Oryctolagus cuniculus: one gene and its partners. The protein of the gene in region 3 interacts with the protein of the main gene of each other region in a pairwise test. Links are inferred from orthologs where the notes say so. Each region holds a gene or a part of one and is shown on either strand. Other genes may lie near its edges. The genes, in order: CCDC88A, CCSER2, NDEL1, TRAF3IP3, MIS18A, DIXDC1 and CCSER1.

Region 1 (4,880 bases), on a different chromosome or scaffold from region 3:
TTGGGAAAAACTCCTGCATAGGCATGGAAACTTCCATGTCGTTTTGTCAAGCTTCTGGAGGATTACAAAGAAAAGTGGACATGTCAGACACTGGGTACTAAAAGCAATGCTTCCTTCTTGTTGCATTCCACTCACCATAGAAAGAACTGTGATTAAGAGAGAGTCATCAAGAACAAAAGGAAAACATTGTGAGCCACCAGGATGACACCAGCCTTGTGTATTGGCCAGGGCCGTGCGAAGTTCTACTCTGTTACCACCTAAAAAAAGTCACATGAAAACATCCTAATTGTAATTAAGATCATTTGATAAGGACATGTGTTTCTGTTTCCCAAAAGCAAGATCCTTTCTCATGTAACTGAAGTAGGAGAGCTTTCATTTGAAGTTTCCTCCCAAAGATTCTTAATTTTAGGGGGAATAATGATGAAGACAACATCAACAACACTTATAAAATATTTCTATAAGCTGCCATTTCATTGAACTGCTTTACATATAAAGAAAGTGAAGCACAGAGCAGCTTAGTAACTTGCCTAGTCTCACAGAGCTAGTGAGCATTGGAACCATGCAGGAGAACTCCAAGCCCAGGCTCTCAACTACCTAATTAACAAACTGTGCTGTTTCTTAATTCAGTGCTATGACAAAAACATTCTCACTGCTAATTTAAAATAGTATGCAAGTATTCAAAGTAGATGTTTATGTAAGTGCAAACATAGCATACATTGTCAAACTATAACGCTATGCTTTCTCAAAAAATGTGTTTTACATGCCCATTTTAATCTCAAGAAAAAGATCTTCATTTCTCTTTGAAATGAGGAGTAACATTTGATTTTGCTAGGGAACTGTTAAAATTATTTTGATGGTTCCAGCCGTGCATAGCATAGAGATTTATAGTAAATATGTAATCTGTTTATTTGTCGCCCAAGTTGGATGACTTCCAAATGTTTCCTCTTTATAGCTCTTGATTTGTTTGGATTTTTTTCAATGGCCAAATCGTCACACACACACACACACACAAAAATGTCTAAATCACGTTTGCTCTTGTCAGGGAATAGCAACATGCTGAAAGATAGATTTGGTTGTTTAAAAATCCTACCACATTTCACTTGCATTCCATGCTTTAGAGGGCTGGATGTTAAAAAAAAAAAAAAAAAAGGAAAAGGAGAAGAAAAAAAGAACTAACTTGTGGCTCGCGTCCCTTTGCCCTTCGCTGAAGTCAGTTTTCCCATTCCATTCTGTTGGGGAGCAAGCATGCTGAAGAGATCAAACCAAACTGTCCGAAAAAGGCTGTCTGCATCCCTCATGTTTAAAAGAGAAGAATTTCGTTCCCCTTCCTTCACACATCAAAGAAGGCACTCGGGGAGGAAATAAACCATAATTAGGCACGAGTGAGCGAGCAGACAGACCCTTTCCTTTGCCTTCGCCATCCCCGCCCCCCGCCCCTGGCAACCATCCTGGGCGCTAGCAAGGCGCCGGCCACCGCAGCAGCTGCAGCGAGCGCGGCCCCGCGCCCGCGCCCGTCTCAGAATCTGGGCGGCGGCGGGGCCAACCCGGGAACGCGCTCGCCCGGGAGCGCGCTCATGCAGCGGTTTTCTTCTCCCACAATCCAGAGGCAGCGGCGCGGGAGGGGCGGGGAGTCGGCGGAAGGATATCGGCGCGGAGGGAGCGGCGCGTCCCCTTGACGGCGGCCTCGCTGCGCTGGTTGGGCAGCGAGTAGTGGGGTGTGACGCGGCACTGCGGTTCTGAGGCCGTTACTCCGGCTCCTCCAGAGAGGGCGGAGGAGGAGGTTGGAGCTCGGCGGTGATTTTGTGCCAGGGCTTCCCAGAGGCGCTCCGAAGAGGCTGGCGGGGCTCAGGCAGCCGGAGGTTTAGAGACGCACATTCAAGCCCCCATCCCCCGGGAGGGGAAGGGGGCTGGAGGCGAGGCGTGAGGGCGGCGGAGGAATGGTGTCTGCTCGGGGGGAAGGGGCGAGCCCTGCCTGTCGGTGGTGAGGGGCTGCAGACCGGGGAGGCTTCGCGGGTCGAAGCGGCTCCATGCCCACCGGTGGGTGGAACGTGTAGAGGGGAAACGCGGAGGTCGAGCCTGGCGGCCCCTTGGATCCCCTAAGGTGGTGTCTAACGTGGTGTTTGATAAAGCCCACGTTGGGATTAATTCATTGGGGGCAGTTCCGCTCGCTTGGCTGCTCTAGGAGCCGGGCAACCTTGACGGGCTTTTTGTCTTGCTGCTGCAGCCCTCTTTCCCCTTCCTCCTCCTCCAGATGCCTTTTCTCTGCCCCTCCTTGCCCGGTACCGACATTTCCAGCGCAGGCTGCTGCTCGTGGGGGCTGTCGAAGCCGCTTCTCGGGATTTCGGCTCGTTTCCCTCTGGGGTGTCTTTGGAGGAGGGAGCGTTTCCCCCCCTCCTCGATGGGGTTTTCCTCGCTTGCCAAAATGGACTTTCATTGATTTCTACTTCAACGTTTCGTGACCAATTCCCTAGGCGTATTTTTGTGGTAGTTCCTTTTTTTTTTTTTTTTTTTTTTTTTTTTTTTTTTTTTTTTTTTTTAAGTAGAGGATCTGTAAAATGGAGAACGAAATTTTTACTCCCCTTTTGGAGCAGTTCATGACCAGCCCCTTGGTCACTTGGGTAAGTGGAGTGCCCTTTATTGTAGATTTTGCTGGGTTATTTGTGGCTGCAGAGATGGAGGTGGGCGTTCATGCCCTGACGATCCTTCTGTTCTAGGTTAAAACGTTCGGACCTCTGGCTGCGGGCAGTGGGACCAACCTGGATGAATATGTGGCTTTGGTGGATGGGGTATTCCTGAACCAGGTCATGCTCCAAATGTAAGTCTTTTCTGGGTAACTTGTTTTCTTTGAGAAATAACGTACTGTGAACTTGAGACTTGATGTTTTCGCCCCTAATGTGGTTCTTGGGTTAGAAAAATGCAGGTGGTTCAAAAAATTGGATGTTGAAAGGAGTGAAAATCTTCCGTGCCCAACCCATTTATCGCAAGCCAGCAATTATGCCTGTTAAAATTGTGAAACTTTGCATTTTTCGTTTTGCCAACCTTGTGTTGTCACTTATTGTCTTCAGTGCTGAAAACCAAACCACACGGTGTCCTCTTTGATAATCTGGTAAGAAGAGAGAGAGGGCAAGAATGCAAATCTAGTGTCCTAATAGGGGGGAAAGGACTTTAATGTGAAGCTATGTGCATTTGATGCATATCTAAAAATAGTTATTTTTATACTCAGTTTTTGAAGCTAGTGAAGTAATAACATCTTAGAATTTCATACACAGTTCTGAGTGGTGAAGAGGACTGCTGCTGCAGCATGTAACTTAAATGTCTATAATAATTCAGGTCTGATTAGATGATTTATTGTGTGGACTTTGTGTCATATTTGAAAGATCATTTTAAGGTGTTCTTAGTTTTGAAATGTACATCATTGAAGGCTTGATGAGGACTAGACAACCAGTGATTTAGTAGTCACTTCTTTGTCTTTTATATTTATAATATTAGATCTATATTAAATGTTTTTGTTTGTTTCTGCAATGGAAATTGGATATTGAAAGTATATTGGTAGCTGGATTAGGGCAGTAAAAACAGCTGCATTTTTATTATTAGAGGTACTATAGCATACATGCATTCTAGGTCCTTCAGTGTAGGTTATCACACTGTGAATATCATTACAGTTGTGCTGTAAGTAATTAGCCTTATTCTTGAATAGAATCTGATTATAGGAGTAGTTTGGAACCTGTGATTGAAAGATGTTCTCATCTTTTATATATGTGGGAAATTAGTGCCTTATAAATCCATAGTTGCTAACAAGTAGAGAACAAGTCTATTCTGCTTTGAGAACTTTACATATAAATTAGCTATTCTGTATTTTACTGGAAGTTATTTTTCAAGTTAGTTTTCTGTTTAAAAGAGGTTAGATGTTAATTTCACAAATAATTGTTCCAGTTAGAGTTTGTATGCTCAGAGATTTATATGTTGATCCCACAGGGAGACATACTACTACCATACACTTTCCAAAAATGTTATATTTGTTTAGGTGCCTGAAGAAATGTATATGTTATCAAAATTTGTATTTTTTTCCTTAAGAAAGGAAGAGTGTAGACATTAATTATTTATAGGGTTAATAAATGTATTTTTGGCAGCTATCCCATGAAATTATTTTTTATTTTTGAAATATCCCACTATTTCCTAAGCGAAATGGTAGAAAAATTAAACTAACTTCTATTTTAGGAAACACACATGACAGGAAGAGTAGCCATTATGGTAGAGAGTCACCTTTTCCCCTATGTCTGTCTGTTTCAGAAAATTTTGAATTTGTGTGCATAACCCCTCCCCTTAAAAAGTATCTTTACAAAAATAGTAAAATTAGTTTTCTACTTTAGTGGATTTTTAAAATAATACTTTTTCCAAAAAAAGAGAAAGATTTGGGGCTTTTTAAGTCTTAAGTAGCTAGCCAAGGTGCTAAAAACAAACATGTTGGCTTATTTCCATTGTGTATAGGTATGTTTTGAAAATGATGGTGTTCCAAAATAGTGGTTGCCAGGGAGTTGTTTTTTTGGGAGGACTAGCTCCTTTCCAAACCTCAAATCTGCCACTGTGTTTTCAGTTCCACCTCTCAGTTTCTTTAAAAGTGTTTTCAGCGTCCTAATTCTGTTTGAATGACCCGTATAAATTAAAGAAAAAGAAAATTAAGAAAAAGAGAAGTATGCTTTTGCTTTTTTTCAAGAAAAATCTGCTAAAATAACATCGCAAATTTATCTTAATGAATTATTTAACTTTCAGGACAACAAAATATACATTGTTTTAAAAGTTATATTTTGCTAATTTTGAAATTATTAGGTTTTTTAAAAGATTTTATTTGAAAGGCAGAGTTAGAGAGAGAGAGAGGTCTT
Region 2 (3,018 bases), on a different chromosome or scaffold from region 3:
CCCTCATGTCAACATCTTCACCATGATCACAAAGCTAAGACAATAAGCGATCCAAGTTCCTGTGGAGACGCATTTGGCGCAGCGCTGATCTGCAGACGCAGATCTGCGGTGAGCTCCGACTCCTCAGCAGAGCCATGGCCTCGCTTCCACCTCTCACTTAACACTGACTAAGGAGCAGATCAGCAGGATACTCGCAGTTTTTTAAAGGAAACTGCAGGCCAATACTTCATGTTGTGTGCAAGCAATTTAGATATTTTTCTCTTAGATACATTATGCTTCATAATTATATTGATGAGCCTATCTTCTGCTAAGATTAAGGCTCAACAAAGGTACAGAGAAGTTAAACTGACAGGCTTAACATGTCTGTAAGTTCTTCAGGGAGGAAAAAAGAGCAGGAAAGACATCAGAATAAATCAATGACTGGAGTCAACAGATGGTTATGTAATGGACAATAAAGACATTTCCCTCAGCCTAGGGAGTTAAAAACAAATTTGAAATTTAAACTCCTTAAGAGTCTGTATCAACTTCTAAATCAACCAAAAATCTACTAATTCATTAGACTGTTTTACTTTGGGGAAATCAAGAATGATAGTATCCTATATGCAATATGGGGTCAGCTTTCTTTCTCCATTGAAATGGAAGACCACCCACGTGCCCACTCTTAGCTGCAGCCATTGTGGCCCCCTCTGTGGACAAGGAAGTATTTGCTGCTACGTCCGAGGGAGGACTCATCTGCACTATGTGAGGGACCCGCTGCACTGCAGGGCCTCTCCTGTGGAAGCGCTGCTGCACAAGGCGGAGAGCCTACTGCGGCGCTGAGCACTTTTTACCAAATCTAACAATGATTTCTATCTACCGAACAGCACAGTCGCTGGATGACTGGTGCTCTGACAGGTAAGGGAAGACTGCGTCCAATGGCAGCACACACTTCCTTTGAAATTCCCACTCAAGCACTTGCTGCTGTTCCTCTCTCACAAAGGGACAGCCAAGTCCACCATCTTAAAGACACACATCGTAAAGGAATCCCTAGAAATTTGAATGAGTCACTTTCTTGGCTTCATTCTTTCCAGTACATTTTTGGTCCACTGAGCAAAAAAATTGGTCATGTACGGTGATCTGTCTAAAAACTATTCATGCTGATTGAAGCAGCTGCAGAGGTACAGCCTAAATGTGGCGTGATGTGAAGGACAGGAAGACACGTTCACTGCACTGTCTGACAAGCGGCCTGCAGGATGGTTAAGTTCGTGCACATGGTTGCCTGGAGGTCCCACAGCTGCCTTCTGCGGCACAATGGAATAAATAAGCATAGTGCCTTTGAAATACCTTTGAATAAAATACAATTCCTATCTCAAATTCTGTTCTCCTTCCCAAATCTACTCTTCAAGAAATTCTCATTCAAACGTACACCAACCAAAATGGGAAACCTAGGAAACCCAGAAGAACTAAACCATTATGAATTCTAGCTTTCTCAAATGCATAATTTTTAAATTTATAATTTTTCTTAAAATATTTTCACTTGTTTTGCTATAGAAAATAAGTTTTAAATCCCTATGTATGGGATATTTACACCCCATCCAAGTTTTGTGCAAATATTTCAAGTCCATTATTCCAGTCTTCAGATATTGGCAGAAAGTCAATAAATATAAATATTATAATAAAGACTTAATTCATGATACATGCTGTGGAACCTTTAAAAAGCTATATGAATCCATAAGCTTATGGAGTTCAACACTGAAACTCCTGCACTAACATATGTTACAATTTCAAGACGTAGCTCACTCTCCAAAATTTACCCTACAGTAGCAATGTGAACACACACAAAGGGGCTGTGGCGAAGAATTCCTGTGTGTGAGAAAAACATGATATCAAAGCAACACATGATTGGTTTATAAATAATACGAGACATTTTCAGTCTGGGGATTTAGGTAAATGAAGAAACAGTAAACTAGTTTGATGATCCTAGTAGGGAAAAATAAGACTTACATAGACTTCCCATTAAAAGCCTGATCTCCTTTATTCATCACAAAGCTTTTGCATAGACCTTTAAAATATACAAAACACTGGCCAGAACTCTGCTTACAGACGACCATCATCCATGATCACCACGTCTTTAGTTCCAATAGTAGCCATGTTCACAGGAGAGACAAGTGGGAAGGGGTGAGGTTTGGACAACCACAAGGAATACGGACTTAACAGGACTCATCTGCTAAGTGGCTATTGTGAGTTTTCTGATGTACAGCAAGTGGATACATGGTGACAGCCTTTGGTGGACCTCTGGGATGGGTAAGCAAACTTGTGTTTACCTGAGACAAGATGCTCAATTGGTACAGACTTCAGCCCAGGCTATAAAGTGGAAGAGCCCAACTAGTAGAAACTTCCACATTTTAATTGTAAGATTTGCAGGCTTTCAATGGAACCTCCACCGTGGTAGTAAACTGTACGTAAAGCTATTACAGAAGACTGTGTTTCAAAACACAAAGTGGCAGGTGATGGCTATGTACTTAATGTATCTTTGGTTTAGGAAGACGAGAATAACGATTGGATGCCAAACAATCCCCAGGATGCAAGTTGCCATTCGGATTCTGCATGATTTCTTTTTGTCGTGTGAGTGGCCTTGGGATGCTGGTCTTGGCCTGGACATTTTGAGGCTCTATTCGGGGGGTGCTTACTTGTTTCTGTTTGAAAGAGCAAGAAGGGGGGCGGAGCTTAGACACTTTCAGATTACTTGCAAGATTTGTTGGACTAGATGTTGGCTGAAGTTTTGCTGAATGACATGGTGCGATTATCAGTGACTTCTTACAAGTGGGAGGAGTCCGATTTGCAGATGATTCCGAATCTGGAGGAGGTGCCAAAGAATTCAGAATGGATGGCTTTAAAAGCTGCAAAGACTTGGGCTGAGAAGGGTAGCCCACTGGTGGAGACTGATCTTGTCCAACTCTCTCAGCCTGGTCTACTGTACTTGATTGAGGAGCTGTCTGAAGAGAAGTAGCTACAAACTGCATGTCACTAGGTTGATTC
Region 3 (4,281 bases):
AAGCACTTGGGCCATCTGTTGCTTCTTTCCCAGGCCATAGCAGAGAGCTGGATTGGAAGGAGCAGCCGAATCTCGAACCAGCACCCATATGAAATGCTGCACTGCAGATGACAGCTTTGCCTTCTACACCACAGCGCCGGCCCCATTTATTGACTCTGAAGTGACTGATAGGCCAGGGTGGAGGATCTAATGCTAAGCTAGTCACTGCCCTTGAGGGTGGTGCACATGGATGTTCAGCATGACAAATGCAGGGCACAGAGAGGGGAGCGGCCAGTGCCTCTGGGTGAGCTGGAGAAGCCTTTGCAGATACTAGAGCTATGTCTGCAAGGAGGAACAGGAGTTAATCAGGTGAAGAGGCAGGTGAAAGGCAGAGAAGCAGGAAAGAGCTTGAGGTATTGATGTTTCATTTTGCTTGCCACGTACCAGACAGTGACTGACCAGAGGATGGTTGGGGTCAGGTTGTGAAGAGTCTTTGGTCTGTGTTTGAAAGTCACTCTGTAGGCAAAGGGAAACTCTTTAAAATTTTTTTGAGCAAAGGAGTAATATCAGAGTTATGATTCAAGAAGGTAATACTGAGGCGTTGGAAGCACGGAGAAGTGCAGAACATTTGGGAGTAATCCATTTAGGGAGAAGAAGTAAGGCAGAGAGAAGGTTGAGGAGGAAATAGATTCCAGAGACATTTTGGCAATTGACAGGAATTGCAGAGTAGGTGTTGAATGAATGAGAAATGCAAGATGGAAAAAGAGCTGACAGGAAGTAAGTGAAGTGGAACCTGGGACTTACAATGTTAGAAACAAATTCTTAGCCGGCGCCGCGGCTCACTAGGCTAATCCTCCGCCTTGCGGCACCGGCACACCGGGTTCTAGTCCCGGGCGGGGCACCGGATTCTTTCCCGGTTGCCCCTCTTCCTGGCCAGCTCTCTGCTGTGGCCCAGGAGTGCAGTGGAGGATGGCCCAAGTTCTTGGGCCCTGCACCCCATGGGAGACCAGGAGAAGTACCTGGCTTCTGCCTTTGGATCAGCGCAGTGCGCTGGCTGCAGCGCGCCAGCCGTAGTGGCCATTGGAGGGTGAACCAACGGCAAAAGGAAGACCTTTCTCTCTGCCTCTCTCTCTCACTATCCACTCTGTCTGTCAAAAAAACAAACAAACAAAACAAAAACAAAACAAAACAAATTCTTACATGCTTCTTTATATTCAGAAGTTTTCTTCTGGGGCCAGTGCTGTGGCATAGTAAGGTAAGCCTCTGCCTGCAGCACTGACATCCCATATGGGTGCTGGTTTGAATCCTGGCTGCTCTACTTCTGATTCAGCTCTCTGCTATGGCCTGGGAAAGCAGTGGAAGATGACCCAAGTGCTTGGGCTCCTGCACCCAGGTGGGAGACCCAGAAGAAGCTCCTGGCTTTGGATTTGCCCAGCTCTGGCCGTTGTGGCCATTTGGGGGAGAGAACCAGCAGATGGAAGACACTTTCCTGTCTCTCTCCCTCTGTAACTCTGCCTCAAATAACTTAGTAAATCTTTAAAGAAAAAGTTTTCTTCCTCAAAATTCATAAATGAGACTGTATCATGTTTAAAATCCAGTGAAAATATAAATAGTGTAACAGTTGGCCTTTCTTTAAGGAATTTTAAGGAATTTACTGAATGGCCCGAATGGAAATAGAGACCCTGAATCCACAGAAGGTTGGGAGAAAGACCAGCTCATTCTCTTTGAACTTGGTGGAACAGACTAGGTGAAGAATGTCATGAGATAAACTGACAGTTTCCTTTTGTGTTAGCTGTTTGCACATGTTATTTATTTACTTACTTTATGGACTGTTAATTTTTTTTTCCAGGGCAACAATAGTTTCACTGGAAGACTTTGAACAAAGGCTAAATCAGGCCATAGAACGGAATGCATTTTTAGAAAGTGAACTTGATGAAAAGGAATCTTTGTTGGTCTCTGTACAGCGGTTAAAGGATGAAGCAAGAGGTAAATTTTATAGTTTAAAGAATATTTGTCGGGGCTGGCACTGTGGCGTAGTGGGTTAAGCTGCTACCTGCAGTGCTGGCATCTTACATGGGCGCCAGTTCGTGTCCCACTTGTTCCACTTCCGATCCAGCTCCCTGCTAATGTGCCTGGGAAGGCAGCAGAAGATGGCCCAAGTCCTTGGGCCCCTGTACCCACGTGGGAGACCTGGAAGAAGCTCCTTGTTTATGACTTTGGCCTGGTCCAGCCCTGGCTGGTGTGACCATTTGGGGCGTGAACCAGCAGATAGATGATCTCTTTATCTCTCCTTCTGTCTCTAACTCTGCCTTTCAAATAAATAGAATAAATATTAACAGTATTCTTTTTTTAATCTGACACTAGCCAGGGTAAGCTTAAGAACTGACTTCCTTTCTTTTTTAAAGGTTTATTTATTTATTTGAAAGGCAGAGTTGGAGAGAGAGGTCTTCCATCTACTAGTTCATTCTTAAAAGGGCCGCAACGCCTGGGGCTGCTGGATTAGGCTGAAGCCAGGAGCCTGAAACTCTGTCCAGATCTACCATGTGAGTGGCAGGAGCCCAGTTACTTGGGCCATCTTCTGCTGCTTTCCCAGATGCATTAGCAGAGAGCTGGATCAGAAGTGGAGCTGCTGGGACTTGAACTGGCACCCATATGGCAGTGGCTTAATCTGATGTGCCACAACGCCAGACCCTACTGACTCTTTAATGATTGTTTTTTTCATGACTTTTTCTTTTTCCCTGAGGGATTGGTGTATTCACTTGAAGAGTCTCTCATAATTTACATAGTGTGTAAACCATTCTGTATTTTATTACTGTGGTTAAAAAAAAAGAAGCCACATAATGTTAAATTTACCATCTTAACCATTTTTAAGTGTACAGTGCAGTGGTGTTAGATGTCACGTTGTTGTGGAACAGACCTCCAGAACTCTTGCACCTTGCTCTATACTCACTGAAGAACAGCTTCCTATTTCTTCCTCCCCCCAGCTGCTGGCAGCCACAGTTCTGCTTTCTGTTTCTCTGAGTTCCACTACTTTAGACACTTCTTTTTCTTTTTCTTTTTTTTTAAGATTTTTTTATTTGAGAGGCAGAGTTACACAGAGACACAAAGAGATCTTCCATCTACTGGTTCACTCCCCAAATGGCTGCATCTGCTGGGGCTAGGCCAGGCCAAAGCCAGGAGCTAGGAGCTTCATCCAGGTCTCCCACGTGGGTACAGGGGACCAAGGACTTGGGCCATCCTCTGCTGCTTTCCCAGGTGCATTAACAGGGAGCTGGGTTAGAGGTTTGGCATCTGGGATTCAAACCAGCGTCCATATGAGATGCTGACGTTGTAGGCGGTGACTTAACCTGCTGTACCACAGCATTGGCCCCTGTATCCATTTTCTTTATGCATTCATCTATGAATGAATATTTGGTGTAGGTGCATTTCTTGGCTTATGTGAATTATGCTGCTATGAACACAAGTTTGCAAGTGTCTTCTTGAGATCCTGTTTTGAATTCATTTGGACCTTGGAAGTTGGATAATCTGTATCCTTTTCTGATACAAGGAAATATTCTATACATTAGTTGCCTAACTGGAAAATTTAATTTTGGGTTGAAAATTCAATATTTGAAAGCAAGGAAATTAATTTTAAAGTGATATTATTACTTTATTTAAATAAAGATTTTTATTTATTTATTTGAGAGGCAGAGTTAGAGGGAAAGACTGGTTCACTCTCCAGATGGCCTCAATGGCCAGAGCTGGACCAATCCAAAGCCAGGAGCCAAGAGCTTCTTATGGGTCTCCCATGTGGGTGCAGGGGCCTAAGCAGGTAGGCCATCTTCCACTGCTTTCCCAGGCCATAGCAGAGAGCTGGATCAGAAGAGGAGCAGCCAGGACACAAACTGGCGCCCATATGGGATGTGCTACAGGCAGAGGCTTAGCCTACCATGCCAAAGCGCTGGCCCTTAACTACTACTTTTTTAAAACAAAATGTTTCATAGTGATAATAAAAAATACCAACTCATATAAAATTATAGAAATGCATTTCATTGATTTCACAGTAATCTCCAAACTACAATATTTTAAAGTGAAAGCAAATGAGTTGATGAAGTATTTATTTTTTGGGGGCTGGCATTTGGCATTATGACAGTGCTTGGGATGCAGACTTCCCACACTAGAGTGCCTGGGTTCAAGTCCTGGCTCTGCTTCTAATTCCAGCTTCCTGTTAATGCATACCCTATTAAGCATTAGGTTATGGCTTTAGAAGTTGGGTTCTTGCCCCCTACAGTGGAGACCTGGATTGAATTTTAAGTTCTTGGC
Region 4 (4,898 bases), on a different chromosome or scaffold from region 3:
TGGGAAAGCAGCAGATCATGGCTCAAGTACTGGGGACCTTGCTCTCCACATAGGACACCCAAATGGAGTTCCAGGCTCCTGGCTTTGGCCTGTCTCAACCCTGGCCATTGCAGCCATCAGTGAAGTTAACCAGTGTATTAAAAGGTCAGTCTCTCTCTCTCTCTCACCCCTCTCTCACTCTTTCAAATAAATGAAATAAAATGAAAAAAATATATGGCATCCCATACCCTGAGTTCAAGTTCCAGCTCCATTCCTGATTCCACCTTCCTGTAAATGTGCACCCTGGGAGGCAGCAGGTGATGGCTCAAGTGGTTGAGTCCCTGCCATTCCTGTGGAGACCTGGATTGATTTCCTGGCTCCTGGCATCAGTCTGATGTTGTGGGTATCTGTGGAGTCACCCTGCCAAAGGGATCTCTCTAATAAACAAGAATCAAATGAATTTTTAAATTTAATTATATAATGTACTGAGGTTTCCCTTTTGATCAACTTGGTCAATTTTTTAAATGAAGTTCTCTTATTCTGCCATCTTGGGCCCCCCACCCTGCTCTGTCCTCTGCTCATTTCTGGCTCCACATGTCCAGCTCTAGACACGGCCTAGAACTATTGTTTCCCGTCTTGAGGGAACATCCTTTGTCTTCAGTTGGAATGCCTTGCCCAGCCTACTCCTTGTCCTTTTTCTGCTCAGAAAACAGGCAGCCACAGCAGCAAAGAAGACCGTGATGCACTCCCCGCGTGTTAATAAAAATCATCCAGTCGCAGCTATTCCACATCTCCTCGCCCACCTCACTCGTGTCACCCCCTGGAACTCACAGGGGCCACAGGATTCCTGCAGCCACCATCCTGAGCAGCTCATTCCAATCAGGTGAACTACACAGGGTTACAGAGCTGCTCAGGCCACTGTCCCAATCCAGGTCTCTCTCCACTATTTTATCCCGAACTTCTTGGTAATTTCCCGACTAGACTGCCTATGAGGGTTTCTTTATAATGCAGGCAGATTAGTTCCCTTTAGTTTTTCCCCCAATTTTCCTAGTCCAAGTGACTGAGACCAAAAAAAATATTTTCTACAAGATTCTGCCTGCTGTTCCTCGCTTCATCTCCCAGCCACCCACCTTCTCACCTCCTCCTTGCTGCTTCGGGAATGACTGAAGCCAGGGCTGACCTCAGCCTAGAGTTCTGAAGCAGACCCCGTTTTCTCCTGAAACTCTCCAGAGCTCCGGGACTTGTGGAGAACTACCCGATGCCCAGGACAGCCCACACTGAGAACAGCTCTTCTAGGTCGCACTACCAAAAACGGATTTTTTTTTTTTTTTGCCCTCACAGGAACTGCACGGTTTGAATCCAATCACAGGCCCATCCTTGTCTAATCCTGGAAATGGATCTTGTCTTGAAACTGTCAAGAAGAGTTCAGGCCAATCCAATAGCAAGACAAAGGGCGCCTGGGGTGCCCACTGATGGGAGGAGCTCCCAAGCTCAGCCCCGGAGGCCCCAGGGTTCAGGGGCCCACTCAGATCGCGCCAGAAAGCAAGAGAGAGGAACTGGGGTTTGTGAGCATTGTGGGTTTGTCTGTTTCCTGTTTCATCAAGGCTGCTGTGCAAAGAGAAAGAGAGTAGCAAGAAGGGAAATGCTAATGGGGCGCAGAGCCGGGGACTGAGAGCCTGCCCCTTACCCAGCTGCTATTCTGCTCCATCTGAGACCACAGCCGAGGTGTCCCCAGAAGCTGGAATGCTTTCCTGAGCACTTGGGTTGGAGCCTGGAACTCGGAGGTAACTGAGGATGAGGATGCTTTGGGACCACTGACGCTGGGGTGGTGCAGAAGATGCTCCGTCACCCAAGCCTCCCTGGATGAAGAGGGAGGCCCAGGAGTGGGTGATGTAGGTCAAGGGTGTCGGGGGGTTGAGTAACCAAGAAAGTGTCCTGAGCTGGTTTCCTGAGGCACTAGCCACAGAACAGAGATACAACTCCCATCACCCCTGTGCTCCATCCTCTTAATTGGATGAGTCAAATGCCTGGGAGTTCTCGGGCTACTCACTGATGGGGGCATGAATGAGATGACCTTTCAAGGTGGGAAACACACAGCAGCCTTTCCAGCTGGCACTGAGAGCTCTGGACCAGGAAGGCCAGGCCCATACAGGAAGTCACTCACCATCGCTTCGCACACACAGCCAAGCTGTCACAGCAGCGACTCGTAAAGGCAGTGACAAGGCTACTGTTGGGTGAGGGACAGTGCCCTGGTCCTTTCCTGTGTTAGGGAGTGAGGAAGGCCTCCCCCAGCCAACACTACCTCTTCCCCCAAGCTCCAACTGAGCCCTATTGTGTTGCCAAGGGGTACCCCAGAGATGCCCCCTGACCACTCTTTGAACCTTACAAAGACAGTTCCTTTTTTTTTTCTATTGCCTATTTATGTCAATGAGCCATCCCACAGGGTTTCTTATTTTTAAGCAACTCAGTGTGTCAAACCACCCCCAAGAAAGCTTGGTATGGTTCCACTCAGCTGTGCCACACCAAATCCTACTGGGTGTGTAGGCCTGGGATCTGGGAATGCCCCCCTTTCTAAGGAGCCACCTCTACTGCAACTCTGCTCTTGGGCCATAAATCCTAACATCCACCTGTGAGGATGCCAGGGAGCAGAGCTGCTTTCTCTCAGTGGTCCAGCGGACTGATGTAGATGGCCCAGGTGGAGAGCCCAGAGAGATCTCATCTCTCTGGCTGCTACCCCCAGCCCCCTCCACAGCAGGAGGGTAGCAGGATTCTCTGCAGCCAGGGCTCTGCCTCCCTACAAAGCCTGTGTAACTAGGGGCAAACAGGAAGGCGACCTCACATCCCACACTCCATGGTCTGCTGCTGGGCAGCCACTCTTCCCCTCCATCTCTTCCTGTCCTTTCTGCTTGGCCTAACTGAGATAGTTGTTGTGTCAGGACCACAGAGACGTCTTTTCTCATCGTTGCCCAAACCCAGAGGTCAGATGGACCATAGCAGTGAAAATTATTTCAGTCTGGGGCCAGCACCTCCTCAACCTGGTAAACAATGTACTCCTCCAGAGAGAAAAGGCTGGGGGAATCAGAGGATGGGATCTGTCATTATTGGTCCTGGGAGTGCTCATTTAGCCGGGGGCCTTGGTCTCCAGTATCCAACACAGCAAGACAAGGATAGTCCTAACAATATTGAATGTGTATTAATAAAAAAAGGTAACATTTATTATGTGCCAAGTGCCAGGGGCCTACTGTGCACTTTGTCATTTAATCTCAGAACCCTACAAGCCCCATTTTATAAACAAGGAGACTGGGATGCAGAAAGATTGGACAGCTGACCCAAAATCACACACAGGTAATGGTGACACGGTCAGGACTTAAGTCCACAGTCTGACTCCAGGCCAGGGCTCTCCTCCACCTTGTAGGGCAGAGCAAGCCTACATGTGTGGGTTCTGGACCCAGAGTTCCCATGCACAGACCCCCAAGTCTCCTCTATCCAGTCACTTAAAAGTTTACATGGCTGGGACTTGAGGCCCTTTTCTGTTTTCAGATGAGGAAAGCAGCAGGTGGTCCAGGGACAACCCCTCCCCACCACCACCACCACTCCTGGCCCCAAGGACTAAGAATGAAAAGTGTGAGGAAAGGATAAAGCCATTCAGAAATGGTACAGAGAGGACTGATGTCTTCATATGGCTCCATGGGGTCAGTGCTGCCTGAGGCCAGAGGGCACTGCTCCAACCCTTAGGAGTAAGGCATCAAGGAGTGTCCAGGCTTGCCCACATTAAGACCCCTCTCAGAGAGTGAGACTGCCCTGCCTGTGACCCTAAGAAATGAGTGGTGAATCAGAAAGAGCAAGAATCCTTCAGAGAATTCTAGACTAAGCAAGGATAGGCAGCAGAATCCCAATAAAAGGGCAGGGAGGCTGCTACCTGTGCAGTCTGCTTGGCCTATAAGCAAACCCATATGGCCAGAGCTGGCTAATGCCTGCTGGTTGGTGGAGCTAAGATACCACCTCTCTGACCTACCCAGGAACTGAAGTTCCCGGGGTGGGGGTGGGGTGGTAATGAGGTCATGAGCTGGAGAAAGGAGACAGCAGCTGTGAGGGGGAGTCCCTCTTCCTTCATCAGTCCCAGGTCTGACCCCAGTGGTCAGAGGCTCGGCGCAGGATTTCCAAAACTCAGGATCCAGCTCAAGTGCAACCCCACTCAGCAAAGCTCCCAGAGCATCCTAGGAGAATAAGCGAATTCACAGCAGGTAGGTGCGGAGAGCAGGAAAGAACAAAAGAGGCCAGGAAAGAAGAAGGGATTGGGTTCAGGTGCATTGGAAATGGCAGGGAAGACAACATGCAAGGTGTCAAGTACAGCCTCTACACCATAAACCTGGTTCCCTGGGGACTTTGGGTTCCTGATTCTGTTTGTTTACAGGACAGACTCTTTGAGGTGTGATTCATGTGTGTGCTGGTTTGGATGGCACAGTCCATGTCTGGACTAAGGAAAGCAGACTTGGAAGCAGAGTTAACCCTCACCGGGAGGTGATTCTAGAAATATGCAACCCTCAGCTTCCCAAGCGAGAGAGCCAGATGCACGGAAGTGGGTTTCATCCTGGACTGGACGTGTGGCAGGGGCTTGACCAATGCTGATTTGATCTGATTTGCACATGCGAACCAGAACCCAGCCCTGAGAGTGAAATGGGTGCCAATGGACCCATGCCGGGACGACAGAGGACCCAGCAGACTAGGAGCACAAGCTGGTTGCTAAGGGCCGGGAAGACAGCAGTGGTTGCTGGTCCCAGGCCTCGTCACTTCCTGAGGAGGATCGGTTTTCCCTCCGGGTCTCAAGTGTCACTTGACTATTTTAGTAACAAAGTAGGCCAAGAGAGCAGTAAAAATGCTGACTCCCCTTCTAGGTTTGGGAGATTAAGGGGAACAGG
Region 5 (4,281 bases), on a different chromosome or scaffold from region 3:
TCTTGTGAAGAGGGACCACGCAGGAAGCTCTACTACGTACCTCATGCCTTCCTCCACAGCGGCTTTGTCTGCACAGCTCTACATCCCAATTCTCCAGCATTACAAGTATCTCATTACTGGCACAAACCTGCTCTAGGCAAACTGGGTGGCAAAGCATCATCACTCATAGCTCAGCCACCTAAGGACCCGGAAGAAGCCTCCCCTGTCTTGCTTTATCTAACGTCAGAAACATGTGCCACTTCCAATTTGACCTTTTTTCCAATTTTTTACTTAAGAGGGGCAGGGGAGAGAGCAAGAGCACGACCTCCCGTCTGTTGTCTCACTCCCCAGTGCCCGCAATGGCCAGAGCTGGAAACTCGATCCAGTTCTCTCACGTGGGTGGCATGGACCCAACTACTTGGGCCAACTATGTGCTGCCTCCCAGGGTGTGCGTTAGCCAGAAGCTGGAATCAGGAGCTCAGAATTAAACCCAGGGACTTTGGGGCCGGCGCTGTGGCACAGCGGTGAAAGCCCTGGCCAGCAGTGCCGGCATCCCATATGGGCACCAGTTCGAGTCCTGGCTGCTCTACTTCCAATCCAGCTCTTTGCTATGGCCTGGGAATGCAGTAGAAGATGGCCCAAGTCCCTGCACCCACATGGGAGACCCTGAGGAGGCTCCTGGATCCTGATCAGCTCAGCTCCACTGTGGTCATTTGGGGAGGAAACCAGTAGATGGAAGACCTCTCTCTCTCTCTGGCTCTGGCTCTACCTCTCTCTCTCTCTCTCTCTGACTTTCAAATAAATAAAATAAATCTTAAAGTAAAATATAATAATAAAATAAAATAAACCCAGGGACTTCAATGTGGAACACAGCTGCCTTAACCAGTAGGATAAACACCTGCTCCTAAATGAGACTTTAAGTAATAAATTGTGGTGGTCAATACTTGATTAACCAAATGTCAGCAACTGTAACAGTTATTCTCCAACTTACACTGTGTTTGCCTCTCATTGTTACAAGATGCGATGGTTTAGGAAAGTAGGAAGTAGCAGAAGAATCAGCTGGCAATGGAGGGAAACCAGCTCTGGGCTGGCAACCAGCTACATCTAAACAGTAAGGACGGAGATGCCAGCATCTCTCAAAGAAAACTCGAGGGGCCAGGGCTGTGGCGCCAGCTCCCGGCATCCCACAGCGGAGTGCTGGCGGGAGTCCCCGCAGCTCTGTCTCTGCTCCAGCTTTCTGCCAATATGCCTGGCAAGGCAGAGGAAAATAGCGTGGTAGGCAAACTGCAGAAGGCAACCGACATCCTACTTAGAAAACCAAAGATGCGGTGGGAAAATGACATGGCACCGAGCAACTGATAAAACTGTAAATAAATGGCACAGAGGGCAGCCCTGGCATTACAATTCCACCCCAAGGGGCCAGTGCTGTGGCATAACCGGTTAAGCTACCACCTACAAATCCAGCATCCCACTTGGGTGCTGGTGCTAGTCCCTAACGTTCCACTTGCGATCCAGCTCTCTCTAATGCACCTGGAAAAGCAGCAGAAGATGGCCAAGTCCTTAGGCTCCTGCATCCATGTGGGAGACCCAGATGGGGCTCCTGGCTCCTGGCTTTGGCCTTGTCCTGCCCTGGCCCTTGCAGCCATTCGGGCAGAGAACCAGCAGATGGAATATCTCTCTCTCCTCACTCTCTCCCTCTGTAGCTTTGCTTCTCTCTGTGGCTTTGCCTTTCAAATAAATAAATCTAAAAAATACACACACACACAAACTTATTTTTTTAAAAAAAATTCTGCCCAAGAAGTAGCCTGTCTCCTAAAATCAACTGTTCAGGAAAAACAGCCTTGACAACCATGATCTCCTGCAGTAAAACCTCCCACGTATTTTCTTCTGTAACACAATATCGCTTTTTAGAAAAATTACTCTCATTTTATTTGAAAGGCAGAGAAAGACAGGAACCTTCCATCCACTGTTCACTCCCCAAATGCCTGCAACACACAGGGCTGGCCCAGGCCGAAGCCAGGAGCTTGGAAGTCAGTCTGTGTCTCCCACATGGGTAATAGGGACCCACCCAAGTACCTGAGCCAGCATCTACTGCCTCCCGGGTTTACATCAGCAAGAAGCTGCATCAGAATTAAAGCAGGCCCTGTCCTATGGGTTGGGGACATCCCAAGCAGCAACTTAACCACTGAGACATAGCCCCAGAAAATACTTAAAAAGAATCCTTCTCAAGTTCATTCCATTTTTAAAAACAAATGAACACAGGCCAGCGCCGCGGCTCACTAGGCTAATCCTCCGCCTTGCAGCGCCGGCACAAAACCGGGTTCTAGTCCCGGTCGGGGCGCCGGATTCTGTCCCGGTTGCTCCTCTTCCAGGCCAGCTCTCTGCTGTGGCCAGGGAGTGCAGTGGAGGATGGCCCAAGTACTTGGGCCCTGCACCCCATGGGAGACCAGGAGAAGCACCTGGCTCCTGCCATCGGATCAGCGCGGTGCGCCGGCCGCGGCGGCCATTGGAGGGTGAACCAACGGCAAAGGAAGACCTTTCTCTCTGTCTCTCTCTCACTGTCCACTCTGTCAAAAAACAAACAAACAAAAAAGAACATATTTTTACTCCAAAAAAAAGCCACAATTTAGGAGTGCTGATTTTTCCAATATCAAAAAATTAGAGCAAAGCAAAGAGAAAAACAGAGAGACAGAGAGAGAAATTAACTGGCTTTAATGTCAGAAAGTACTACCTGGAAATGTCGTTTAAGCGTGGTTTAGCTCTGACGTCTTCATAGCAATTTCTCTGCAAACTTAACTTTCTGAGAGGTCAGTTACCCAGCGGTCACTTAAATATCAAACTTACCTTTCAATGGCTTCAACACTGAGGCAAAACAAGTCCCTCTTGTAATCAAGGCTCTTGGGGGTGCATCTGTATATGTAGCCGAGGTTGAGGGAGCAGCCGACGCAGTACAGGGTCTCGAGGACGCTGCGTAAAGACATAGCACCGCTTTAGGAAGCAAAGCAGCAACTTGCTACAGAACACCCACTGCTGGCACCCACAAACGCTTCAACACTCAGGTTTCCAGGGTTTGTCATTCTGACCATGTTTAGTTACATGTATTCATATAAGGAAGGAAAAAGATGAGAGTAAGACATTTATAATAGAAATGCAAGGACAGCCACACTGCCATCCACATCTGACGGCAGGAACATGCACACGGCAACAAGAGGAGGAGACCATCAAGTGCATGTGTTACGGCGCAAACTCTGCGGCCAGGGCTGTGCCCCAGCAGGTTAAGCTGTCGCTTGAGATGTCAGCATCCCATATGAGGCAGGTTCAAGTCCCAGCTGCTCCACTTCCAATCCAGCTCCCTGCTAACATGCTTGTGAAAGTGGCAGAAAATGGTCCAAATGCTTGGGCTCCTGCTACTCACATGGGAGACCCGGATGGAGTTCCAGGTCCTGGCTTCAGCCTGAATTAGCCGTGGCTGCTGTGGCCATTGGGGAGTGAACCAGCGTATGGAAGCTCTCTCTCCCTCTTTCCGTAATGCTATCTTTCAATAAATAAATCTTAAGAAAAATAAAGAATGTAAACTCTTTGATTATAAAGAAAATTGGGAAATAAGACAAAAAGATTCTATGCGTCCTTTTAATGCCATTGTCCAAGGAGCCCAACAACGGCAGGGAGAGGCAACTCCTGTGTAATGACGCAGAGAATAACTAATCCTTACTACTGGCCTCTGCCGTCACGGCACGAAAACAGCTTACAGACACTGCAGAACTCAATCACCTGGGTTCACAGAGAGGCATCCAGCCCAGGGCCTCTGCCTGCCCCCGCATTGGCAGAAAGCTAACACAGCCCAGTTTAGAAAAAGCCTCTAAAGTTAAATGACAGCCTGAAGAAAGCCCACCAATGCACCGTAAGTGAGTTTAGTCTGGCAGGGACACAAACCATCCCTGTGAGTAGCAAAGCAAGCCCCAAAGGCTGAGGGGCCATAACTCGATCTGCCGACCCTGAACCAGCTTCCAGCTCCCTCGTTAAGGGGTTTTTAAAAAGTCTCGGATGTGTGCCTGTGATCTGTGTGTTAGAGCTGCCTGTTAAAGGATCTACTCACCACCAGCACTCTCCCAGCAACCCCAGGCACGCCCCACACAGGTCACTCACACGTACTTCATGACCCGCCGCCTCTCCACTTACTTGTTCCTTCATCCTGGACTCTCCTCAGCCTGGCTTGCAACATCTGAATATACTCCCTTCCTGTCAACCTGTCTTCCTTAATCTGCCTCAGAATCACCGTTTCCAAAAAGCCTTGCTGACTTG
Region 6 (4,748 bases), on a different chromosome or scaffold from region 3:
CAGTGGAGTTGTGGGATCAAAAGCCTAATGAGGGAGGGTTACAGAACGAATACAAAATAAGGAAATAAATTTCACGAGTACAGACACAATCTTGGGAGGCTTTTCTATACAGCAAAAACAATGGAAAGCAGTATTTGAGAAGCTGGGTTTTGGGAAAATAAGATGATATATTCATGGGGCTAGCGCTGTGGCACAGTAGGTTAATCCTCCGCCTGTGGCGCCAACATCCCATATAGGCACCAGTTCTATCCCCAGCTGCTCCTCTTCCAATCCAGCTCTCAGCTATGGCCTGGGAAAGCAGTAGAAGATGGCCCAAGTCCTTGGGCTCCTGCACCCACGTGGGAGCCCAGGAAGAAGCTCCTGGCTCCTGGCTTTGGATTGGCGCAGCTCCAGCCGTTGCGGCCAGTTGGGGAGTGAACCAATGTCAGGAAGACCTTTCTCTCTGTCTCTCCCTCTCACTGTCTGAACTTTACCTCTCAAATAAATAAATAAAATATTTTTAAAAAAGAAAAAGAAAAAGCAAACAAACCAACAAAAAATGACATATTCATATTGCCTCTGTATGCACAGATTATCTCTGGAAAGAAATGTAACAAACTGCTAACACTGCTGTCACCAAAAAGAAGAATGGGCAGCTAGGAGGGAGATATAGGTAGAAAAAAGGCTTTTGATTCTATATTCTTTTGTACTATCTGGATTTCCTAATAATTTATGAACAGCCTATTCAAATCAATGAAAACCTAAATTTTAAAATGGGCTTTGGAATTAAAGCAAATCTAAGCTGGTACCTTTACTTAGGCACTTATAGTAAGGTGACCTTGTAAAGGTGCTTAGCCTCTCTAAACTACATAAAATGAGCAAAAGAGTAGTCGTATAGGCTAAGCATCCTTAATCTCAAAATCCAAACTCTGAAATGCTCCAAACCTTAAACATTCTGAGCAACGACATGATATGCTCAAAATAATTCAGATTTTGGAGCATTTCAGATTTAGTCTATGCAAATATTCTAAAATCCAAAAAATCCAAAATCTGTTAACACTTCTGGGCCAAAGCATTTCAGAGGGGGGTTCTCAACTCCTCACAGCCATATCACAAATAATTCAAAGTACCTTGCTCAGCTACTTTGACACATATTAAGTACTCTATGAATGTATTTTTTTAAAGATCTATTTATTTGCTTGAAAGACAAGGTTACAGAGAGGCAAGGGCAGAGAGAGAAAGAGAGATCTTCCATCTGCCGGTTTATTCCCCAAATGGCTGCAACGGCTGGAGCTGGGCTGATCCGAAGCCAGGATCCAGGAGCTTCTTCCAGATCTGCCAAATGGGTGGAAGGGCCCAAGGACTTGGGTCATCTTCCACTGCTTTCCCAGGTGCATTAGCAGGGAGATGGATTGGAAGTGGAGCAGGCGGGACTCCAACCAGCACCCATATGGGATGCCGGCACAGCAGCCGGTGGCTTTACCCGCTACACCACAGCGCTGGCCCCTGAATGTATTTATTTTTATAAATCTTCTCTTGTAAGCTTGTTTCTGAAAGGGGGAATAATAGTATCTGTTTCCCAAGGGGGTGATGATTAAATGAAATGAAATTAAGCAAGACAGAATTCCAAATCCTGGCAGCTACTGTGACTATGAGTCCCGTTATTTTCATTAAAATGAATCCTCTGATGAGTTCATGAGCTGTCCCAAGGAAGTGTTCGTGGATAGGATGCCTGCTGCAATCAGGTGTCTTCCACCCCACGTGCAGGCTCCATGTCTCTCAGGGTTCTAAGCAAGGTGAGCTGCTTGATATAACAATAAAGGTTTGAGAATCAATTACGTGCATTTGCTTAGGGGTTGGAGAAACAGAGGAACATTATTCTATACCTGTTCAGTTTCTACAGGAGACAGATAGGTAAACAAGTGATTGCCACAAATGATTACTGTTTCATGACAGAAATAATAACAGAGCTGTGGGCAAATGCTTAATAGATGATACCAAACTGGCAACAACTCCAGGGCTTCCAGAGGCAAACCTTTCTCTGCAGCATTATGACAGCGAGTATTGCACTGGGGCCTTTTCCGGAGAACACACCCCCCTTTTATCTGGCTGCTGCTTCCTTTTCTGGCCTTGGCTCAGCTATCAGCTTCTCTGGCAGGCCTCAGTTGAGACATCAATTCTTCTGCTAGGTTACCCCTGAGCCCTTAAGACTGGCTGCGTTTTCCTCTGTGCTTGCCCCACCGGAGTCCTAAGTCCATTAATGGAAGTGACTTCACTTTCCAGTCTTTCTAACGAAACGGGGAGACTTCTGAGAGCACAGACTGCTCATCATCAAACTCCCAGAGCATAAGGCAGTGCCTGGCACACAGTGTCTGGCCAAGTATTTTAAGTCTTCACTCTGTCCATGGCCAAACATTCTAGAGGGGCTTTGAGGGGCACACGAAGGGTAAAGAAGGCCATGCTGTAGCCTCAGCATCCAGAGCCAACTCACCAACAATCTCGATGAGGTATGCCAGGATCACCCCATCCCGGAGATCCTGCCGCAGGTCCTGCACAGGCTTCACTGTGGGCCTCTTCCTCAGCTGGGCATTTACCCAGGCCACATACGCCTGCAGCTGTTGCTGGAACACAAAAGGTGCCAATCAGGCAGGCGTTGCACATTAATGCCCCTCCCCTGTACTCTCTAAAGCAGCATTTGAGAGTGAGCTATGGTGGGCAGTCTATACCCAGGAGAGAAAGATGGTGTCATGGTCAGATACCCAGCATGTTCTGGAATTCTCTAGTTTGAAGTTAATCTCCAAAGATATGCTAACCTGTGACTTGGGTGGCACTGCAGACATAGATAAACACGTAAGTGTTTCAATCACTGTGATTCCTGCTTCCTTCAAATTCTGTTGTTGACCAGGGATGAGGACTGGGTCAAAAGCCATGGCCAGTTCTAACTACTGCTGCCAGTGACCCACCGTGGTTCTCAAGAACAACCACGCATGTATCATATACACAAAGGATTGTGAGGAATTGATCTTGGGGAGCCAAGAATGAAAAATAAGCCAAGCTCAGGGCTGCCTGTTCCATAGCTGCTTTCTTCAAAATAAGACTTAAATGAACTCGTCTCGCAGTCAACCCAAGATTTATTCTCCTGAGCCCATAATCCTAGGATTGTTAGAGTTAGTTTTAATCTGTGTTTCATATTGTCGAAGAGGATCTGGTTACTTAAAACCTAAACAGAGAAGGACAAAGAAAAGTTCTATTGAGCAGTGTTACTGAAGACGGCAAGACCTTTTATTTACTTTCAGACAAAGTTAGGCCCTCATATGATTAGAAACTGGTCAGGCATCTAGGAAAAGGCATGTAATTCTTTCTAAGCCTCGGACAATCTCACATATTCTTTTTTTTTTTTTTTTTTTAGATTTTTAAAAAAATTTATTTGAAAGGCAGAGTTACAGAGAGAAAGAGAGAGAGAGATCTTCCATCCCATGGTTCACTCCCCAAATGGCTGCCACAGCTAGGGCCAGGCCAGGACAAAGTCAGGAACCAGGAGCTTCTTCCAGGTCTCCCATGTGGGTGGCAGAGGCCTAAGGACTTGGGCCATCTTCCGCTACTTTCTCAGGCACATCATTAAGGAGCTGGATTGGAAGTAGAGCTCTCAAATGGAATGCTGGTGATGCAGATGGAACCTTAACCTGCTATGCTACAGTGTCAGCCCCTACATATTCCATTTTGTATTCCAACTTGTACTCAAAAGTTTCCTCTTGCGTATTTGGCCAGCAGATGGGCATTAATATCAAAAAAGCACATGAGCAATGTCACAGTCCAGGCAACAGCTCCGTTTTCTGTAGTAGCTCAAGAGTCTAAATATAAAAATCAAGTTCAAGAGCTAATTGCATTAAATTATAATTTGGTTATAGTATAAATGATTTCTAAGTCCCAAGTACTTCCTTAATGAAACAATGGTCAAAACCACTCACTAACTGCTTCCTGAACTTAAATGAAATCTTCAATAATAAATAATTTCTCTCTGTGCCAATTTGTTGTAATTAATATTAATGTTTACTAAATGGTCATTATTGTTTTCATCATCAATAATCTAATTCAATTATCCAAGAAGCACCAAAGATTCATTTTATGGATGAGATTCACAGAGGCTATATAACTTTTCCCAATGTCCGCATAGCTAGGACATAGCAGTCCTGGTATTAACATCCAGTAAACAGAGCACTTACCAAAGGCCTCTTGCTATTCACTTCACTCTGTAAACAAGAGTGGCTATACCTTCTGCCTGATCTGGGCAGCTGGGAAAAATAATACTCCAAGGTCTGCTACTATTGCAAGCCAAAGCCCCACCTGAGGCAAATGAGGCAATAGGCACTTCTGGAGTGAACCACTCTGGTCTGAGGAAGACGAGTTAAAACCAGAAAAGGCACTAAATATAACAGCTGGGATCTAATTACGTGGCTTAAGTCAAACTCCTAATCAACTTTCCTGTATCTAGTATCACCCTCAACCTACTCTCCACACATTCCTGCAACAAATCCATCACTGGTCTCCAATTATCCTCAAGATAAAGTCCAATTCCCTTAGCTCTGCCATTTGTCTGTCATGCCAACCTTGCCTATTCTCTAACTTCCCCCACTTCTCCTGCATATATATCCTCACGCTTTGTCTCATACAAACCATGTGCAGTGCCTTAAATGCACCATGCTTTCCTGCCACTCTCCCCCAACCCCACCCCCTGCTAATTCTCCTTAAATCTCAGCTCAATGACTATA
Region 7 (4,281 bases), on a different chromosome or scaffold from region 3:
AGTTCTGGCAAAAGCGAAGGGGATGATTCGGGGTTTACGGAAGAACAGACTCGACGTTCTGTTAAGCAGTCAACCAGGAAGCTGCTCCCCAAGTCTTTTTCATCGCACTACAGATTTTCTAAGCCGGTTCCACAGAGCCAATCCGTTTCTTTGGTTCAGCAGCCTGAATTCTCTTTGGAGATTACGGAGTTCCAAGAGAGAGAACCTGTGTTAGGAAGAGCGTCTCCATCTTGTTCTTTGGATGTCACAGAACAGGCAGGAAGCTCTTTACAGTCTCCTTTGCTTTCTGCTGATCTCACCACAGCTCAGACACCTTCAGAATTTTTGGCCTTGACTGAAGATTCCGTGTCTGAAGCGGACGTATTTCCTAAAAGTGGAAGCCTGGCATCCCACTGTGACAACTCTGACCACAATGAGTCTACCTCTCAGTTCTCTCCCAATCCCGCTGCTGTTACAAAGACAGCAGTAGAACTCACGGGAACAGTTCCCTGTGCGAGTTTGTCTCCTGGGAAATACAGGTTAGAGGGTCGGTGTGGCATTGAATCTCAGTCGTTACCTGAAACCTCTGCTGCTAGTCAGAAAGAAGTGTTATTGCAGGTCACTGAATTGCGCGGTAGGAATGTGAGCAACTCAGAGACTCGTCTACCCGCAGATACGCTTAGAGAGGACAATATGGTGTTACACAATGGGGAGGCAATGCTGGGCACAAGCTCCCCAAGGAAACGGGGCTTCTATGAGCAACATAAAGCAATAGCTGAACGTGTTAAAGGGATCCATCCTATTTCCGATTCAAAGATAATACCCTCCTCTGGTGATCATCATATTTTTAACAAAACGTCATATGGATATGAAGCAAATACTGCCAAAGGTATGCTGATTTTCTTTGTAAAATAAGTTTTATGAAATGATTTTCATTGTAATGTATTCTATTGTCATCCTCCATCTCATGAATAGCAAGCACACTTGCCTTGTTTTTCACCACCTAGATTCATTCGTATTTAGAATTTAGTTTAAACTTTTATGCAACTTGGTTTTGAACTTGCCTCAATTGTGTTATGCTGAAATTATAATTCAGTAACATTGTTTAGTTTGCTTGTTGTGTTACTGGGACTCTGACTCTGAGAAGAAAGTAGAAGGAAACTACTTCTATTTGCAGTGTGGGTTTATCTAAAATAAGAACTACCATTTTTAGAGTTCATTATGAAAGTATCTGTATTTCTTAATGAAATGGATATATTGCAGCCAAAATCACCATAAAAATAATTTGTATAATTTAAGTTCTATTTCCTGTGTTAACAGTGGTTTCATTACTGACCAAGATCTGTGCATCAGCATAAACAGTTCCTTTCTATTGATACAAAGAATTTCAAGATTTAAAAATCCTGTCCTTTGGAGCCTAAAGGCCCTGCCTGCTTCTAGTAGCCCTGCCACTGAAATGAACTAGATGTATAGATGTATAATCCAGGACATCAAACCTTGTTGTGTAAAAAAAAAAAAAAAAAAAAAAAAAGTGTGTGCACCAATCATTCCAGTCTGGCTCAAGAAAATTCTGTTATTTAACATAAAATTCAGTTCAAGCAAACTTTTGAATGTATATTATCTCCTGGGCTTTATTAGATATTATTTTTAATTCTTTGATACCATTACTGCTAGCAATTGTTGTTATGTTACTGCTGCTATAACTACTACTACTACTACTAATGGTAATTATCCTAATACTGAAAATGATCACTGTATCCCAAATACTTTTCTTGTACTTTGCACACATTAATTTAAAAAATGACTGAAATTAGGACTGGTATTGTGGCATAGCAATGCCAGCATCCCATATGAGAGCTGATTTGAGACCTGGCTGCTCCACTTCAGATGCAGCTCCCTTTTAATGGCCTGAAAAAACAGTGGACGATGGCCCAAGTATTTGGGTACCTGAGAGACTTGGAAGAAACTCCAGGCCTTTGGCTTCAGCATAGCACAACACTGGCTGTTGTGGCCATTGAGGGAGTGAATCAGCAGATTGAAGATTCTCTCTCTCTCTTTCTCTATAACTCTGCCTTTTGAATAAATAAAAAATATTTTTTTTTAAAATGACTGAAGTTGGGGCCAGCACTGTGGCATAGCAGTGTTAAGCTGCTGCCTAGATTCGACTGCTCTACATTGGATCAAGCTCCCTGATTATGTGTCTGGGTTAGTAGTGAAGATGGCTCAAGTGCTGGGTCCCTGAATCCATGTGAGAGACCCAGAAGCTCCTGGCTTTGGCCAGTTTGGCTGTTATGGCCAGATGGGGAATGAACCAGCAGATTGAAGACCTCTTTTTCTTTAACTTTTCTTTAAAATAAAATAAACCTTTTTTTTTTTTTAAGAGTGAAATCACTACTATTATTATAAGCTATTTTGCAGGCAAGAAAATTGGAGCACAGATAAGTTACATGTTCTAAGTCACAAAGTGAATTAGTAATTGACTAGCATACTAATTCCATGAGGTAGGGTAGAATGTTTCCTTTATTCACAAGTGTGATCTAAGCCCACAGTTTCATCCAGCTGGCAAGTAGCATAGCTTAATTGTAACTATGGGAATCCAAAGCTCAGGTTCTTAACCATTATGCTGTATTATATATTCTTACCTTAACTAGTAAATAGAATTCAAAATAAGTTAAGTGGAAGAATATCAAGAATCATAGAATTATGTGATTTATATAAGTAGTCCATCTATGCTGATGGCCGTTTTCAAGTTTTAAATGCAAGAATTCATTTCCCAGATGTCTTAAAATATTTTGTGTATTGATACACAATCACTGTTATGCACCTTGTTACTTTTTTCTTTTTTTTTAACTTGATTGCCATGTCCATACTCTTGATTTGTTATATCTACAAATAACTAAAATATAATAATGAGAATGATAATGATGATGATGGTTGTGGTTACCTTTTTAAAGTGTACACTAAATGTAACTAATGTGCTAAGAAATTTGCATGCTCTATTTCATTTTAATCCTCACAAAATTTTTATGTGGTAGTTTATGACAGTTTATTATTAAGTTAAGTAACTTTAAAAGGTCATATTTTTAGCAAATGAAGGACCTCAGAGTGGACTTCTTTTTTATAGACACGACACACAGGAAAGGTAGAAATGCTGTTTTCCTGATAAATCTAATCTTATTTAACAATGGCAACTTTTCTCAATGTCTAATTGAATACTATGTATTTTTATCTCTATGGAAAGTAGGGAATTACCAATTATCCTGGTGAAAATTTATCTACTGTTGTGATTCTAACTGTAAGCCATTGAACACATTAAAGTAGTTTCACTGACTTGACAGTGCGTTGCCTGTTTTTGGTGATATCAACAAGGAAAAGATGATAGTATACTGTCCTTTGTTCTGTGGGAATATTTATGTGCTACTTTTGCAAATTTTACAGTTTGGAAGTTTAAAATTTTAAAACCAATTAAGTAATTGTATTTTATGCAAGAAAGAGTGGCTGTACACACTAATTTGTAATTCAAAATTTATTTTATATTATAAAGCATTGAAGCTAGTACTTAATGCATATCTGAATGTATTAGATACACACTAATATCACAATTAATAATAGAAATAACTTTCATTTTTTTGCTTAAAACACTGTTTTAAGACCTCTGCTATGTTTTGGAACAATAAATTTCAACCCAAAGCCTTTAAGCTGGTAGATGAACTTAAATAGAGCAGTTCAGTCATTTATTCTGTAAGTGTTTGTTGTTTTAGCACTGTTGTTAGCAGAAAGGATACAAAGCAGACATCATCCCTAACATCATGAAGCTTGCTTTCTACTGGTCACAGATACTCCGACAGTAAACATACAAATAAATACACGTGAGATGATGATAACTGATGAGGTCAAGTGTGAGGCAGAATGAAGTGTTAGGAAGAGAGAAGGGAAGGTGGCTGTTTGCATTTTTAAATTTGATGAGCTGGCTGCTACTCAAGGTAACATGTTAGCCATGAGTTGAAGGACCTCAGGGAGTAAGTGATACAGATGTTTCAAAGAAGTGTTTTGGTATAGGTGAGTCGAAGGCTGTGGGGCTGGAGCATGCCAGATATGCTCCAGGAACAGCACGAGATCCAGTGTGGCATTAGCAAGATACAGGAAGGGGAGGGCAGCAGAAGGTGGGGTTGCAATAGTGAACAGGTGAACAGGGCAGCCCTCGGAGCAGGGGTGAGAGCTGAATCACAAGAGGAGCTCATTTGAAAACATCAGATTTATGTCCTGAGGTGTGAACTTCATCCATCTCACCGTGCTGTAAGT

The links.
Region 1: the proteins of NDEL1 (region 3) and CCDC88A interact in a two-hybrid assay, tested with the Homo sapiens proteins (2 studies listed by BioGRID and IntAct). The link is inferred for Oryctolagus cuniculus from reciprocal best matches to the Homo sapiens genes NDEL1 and CCDC88A.
Region 2: the proteins of NDEL1 (region 3) and CCSER2 interact in binary tests that used the Homo sapiens proteins (3 or more experiments, as listed by UniProt). The link is inferred for Oryctolagus cuniculus from reciprocal best matches to the Homo sapiens genes NDEL1 and CCSER2.
Region 4: the proteins of NDEL1 (region 3) and TRAF3IP3 interact in binary tests that used the Homo sapiens proteins (3 or more experiments, as listed by UniProt). The two-hybrid records come from large-scale screens. The link is inferred for Oryctolagus cuniculus from reciprocal best matches to the Homo sapiens genes NDEL1 and TRAF3IP3.
Region 5: the proteins of NDEL1 (region 3) and MIS18A interact in binary tests that used the Homo sapiens proteins (3 or more experiments, as listed by UniProt). The link is inferred for Oryctolagus cuniculus from reciprocal best matches to the Homo sapiens genes NDEL1 and MIS18A.
Region 6: the proteins of NDEL1 (region 3) and DIXDC1 interact in binary tests that used the Homo sapiens proteins (3 or more experiments, as listed by UniProt). The link is inferred for Oryctolagus cuniculus from reciprocal best matches to the Homo sapiens genes NDEL1 and DIXDC1.
Region 7: the proteins of NDEL1 (region 3) and CCSER1 interact in binary tests that used the Homo sapiens proteins (3 or more experiments, as listed by UniProt). The link is inferred for Oryctolagus cuniculus from reciprocal best matches to the Homo sapiens genes NDEL1 and CCSER1.

What each region holds. Positions count from the first base shown.
Region 1 is NC_091433.1:147,168,667-147,173,546, forward strand, and holds the start of CCDC88A (girdin), read left to right. Parts: upstream 1-1,680; 5' UTR 1,681-2,555; coding exon 2,556-2,618; intron 2,619-2,714; coding exon 2,715-2,815; intron 2,816-4,880. UniProt on the Homo sapiens protein: Bifunctional modulator of guanine nucleotide-binding proteins (G proteins). Acts as a non-receptor guanine nucleotide exchange factor which binds to and activates guanine nucleotide-binding protein G(i) alpha subunits.
Region 2 is NC_091446.1:74,797,018-74,800,035, reverse strand, and holds part of CCSER2 (serine-rich coiled-coil domain-containing protein 2), read right to left. Parts: coding exon 2,502-3,018; 3' UTR 1-2,501. UniProt on the Homo sapiens protein: Microtubule-binding protein which might play a role in microtubule bundling.
Region 3 is NC_091448.1:52,896,831-52,901,111, forward strand, and holds part of NDEL1 (nuclear distribution protein nudE-like 1), read left to right. Parts: intron 1-1,828; coding exon 1,829-1,965; intron 1,966-4,281. UniProt on the Homo sapiens protein: Required for organization of the cellular microtubule array and microtubule anchoring at the centrosome. May regulate microtubule organization at least in part by targeting the microtubule severing protein KATNA1 to the centrosome.
Region 4 is NC_091444.1:24,604,888-24,609,785, forward strand, and holds the start of TRAF3IP3 (TRAF3-interacting JNK-activating modulator), read left to right. Parts: upstream 1-1,505; 5' UTR 1,506-1,763; intron 1,764-4,898. UniProt on the Homo sapiens protein: Adapter protein that plays essential roles in both innate and adaptive immunity. Plays a crucial role in the regulation of thymocyte development.
Region 5 is NC_091435.1:12,608,809-12,613,089, reverse strand, and holds part of MIS18A (protein Mis18-alpha), read right to left. Parts: intron 2,947-4,281; coding exon 2,824-2,946; intron 1-2,823. UniProt on the Homo sapiens protein: Required for recruitment of CENPA to centromeres and normal chromosome segregation during mitosis.
Region 6 is NC_091432.1:103,912,582-103,917,329, reverse strand, and holds the start of DIXDC1 (dixin), read right to left. Parts: upstream 3,034-4,748; 5' UTR 2,910-3,033; coding exon 2,793-2,909; intron 2,601-2,792; coding exon 2,471-2,600; intron 1-2,470. UniProt on the Homo sapiens protein: Positive effector of the Wnt signaling pathway; activates WNT3A signaling via DVL2. Regulates JNK activation by AXIN1 and DVL2.
Region 7 is NC_091439.1:75,222,781-75,227,061, reverse strand, and holds part of CCSER1 (serine-rich coiled-coil domain-containing protein 1), read left to right. Parts: coding exon 1-868; intron 869-4,281.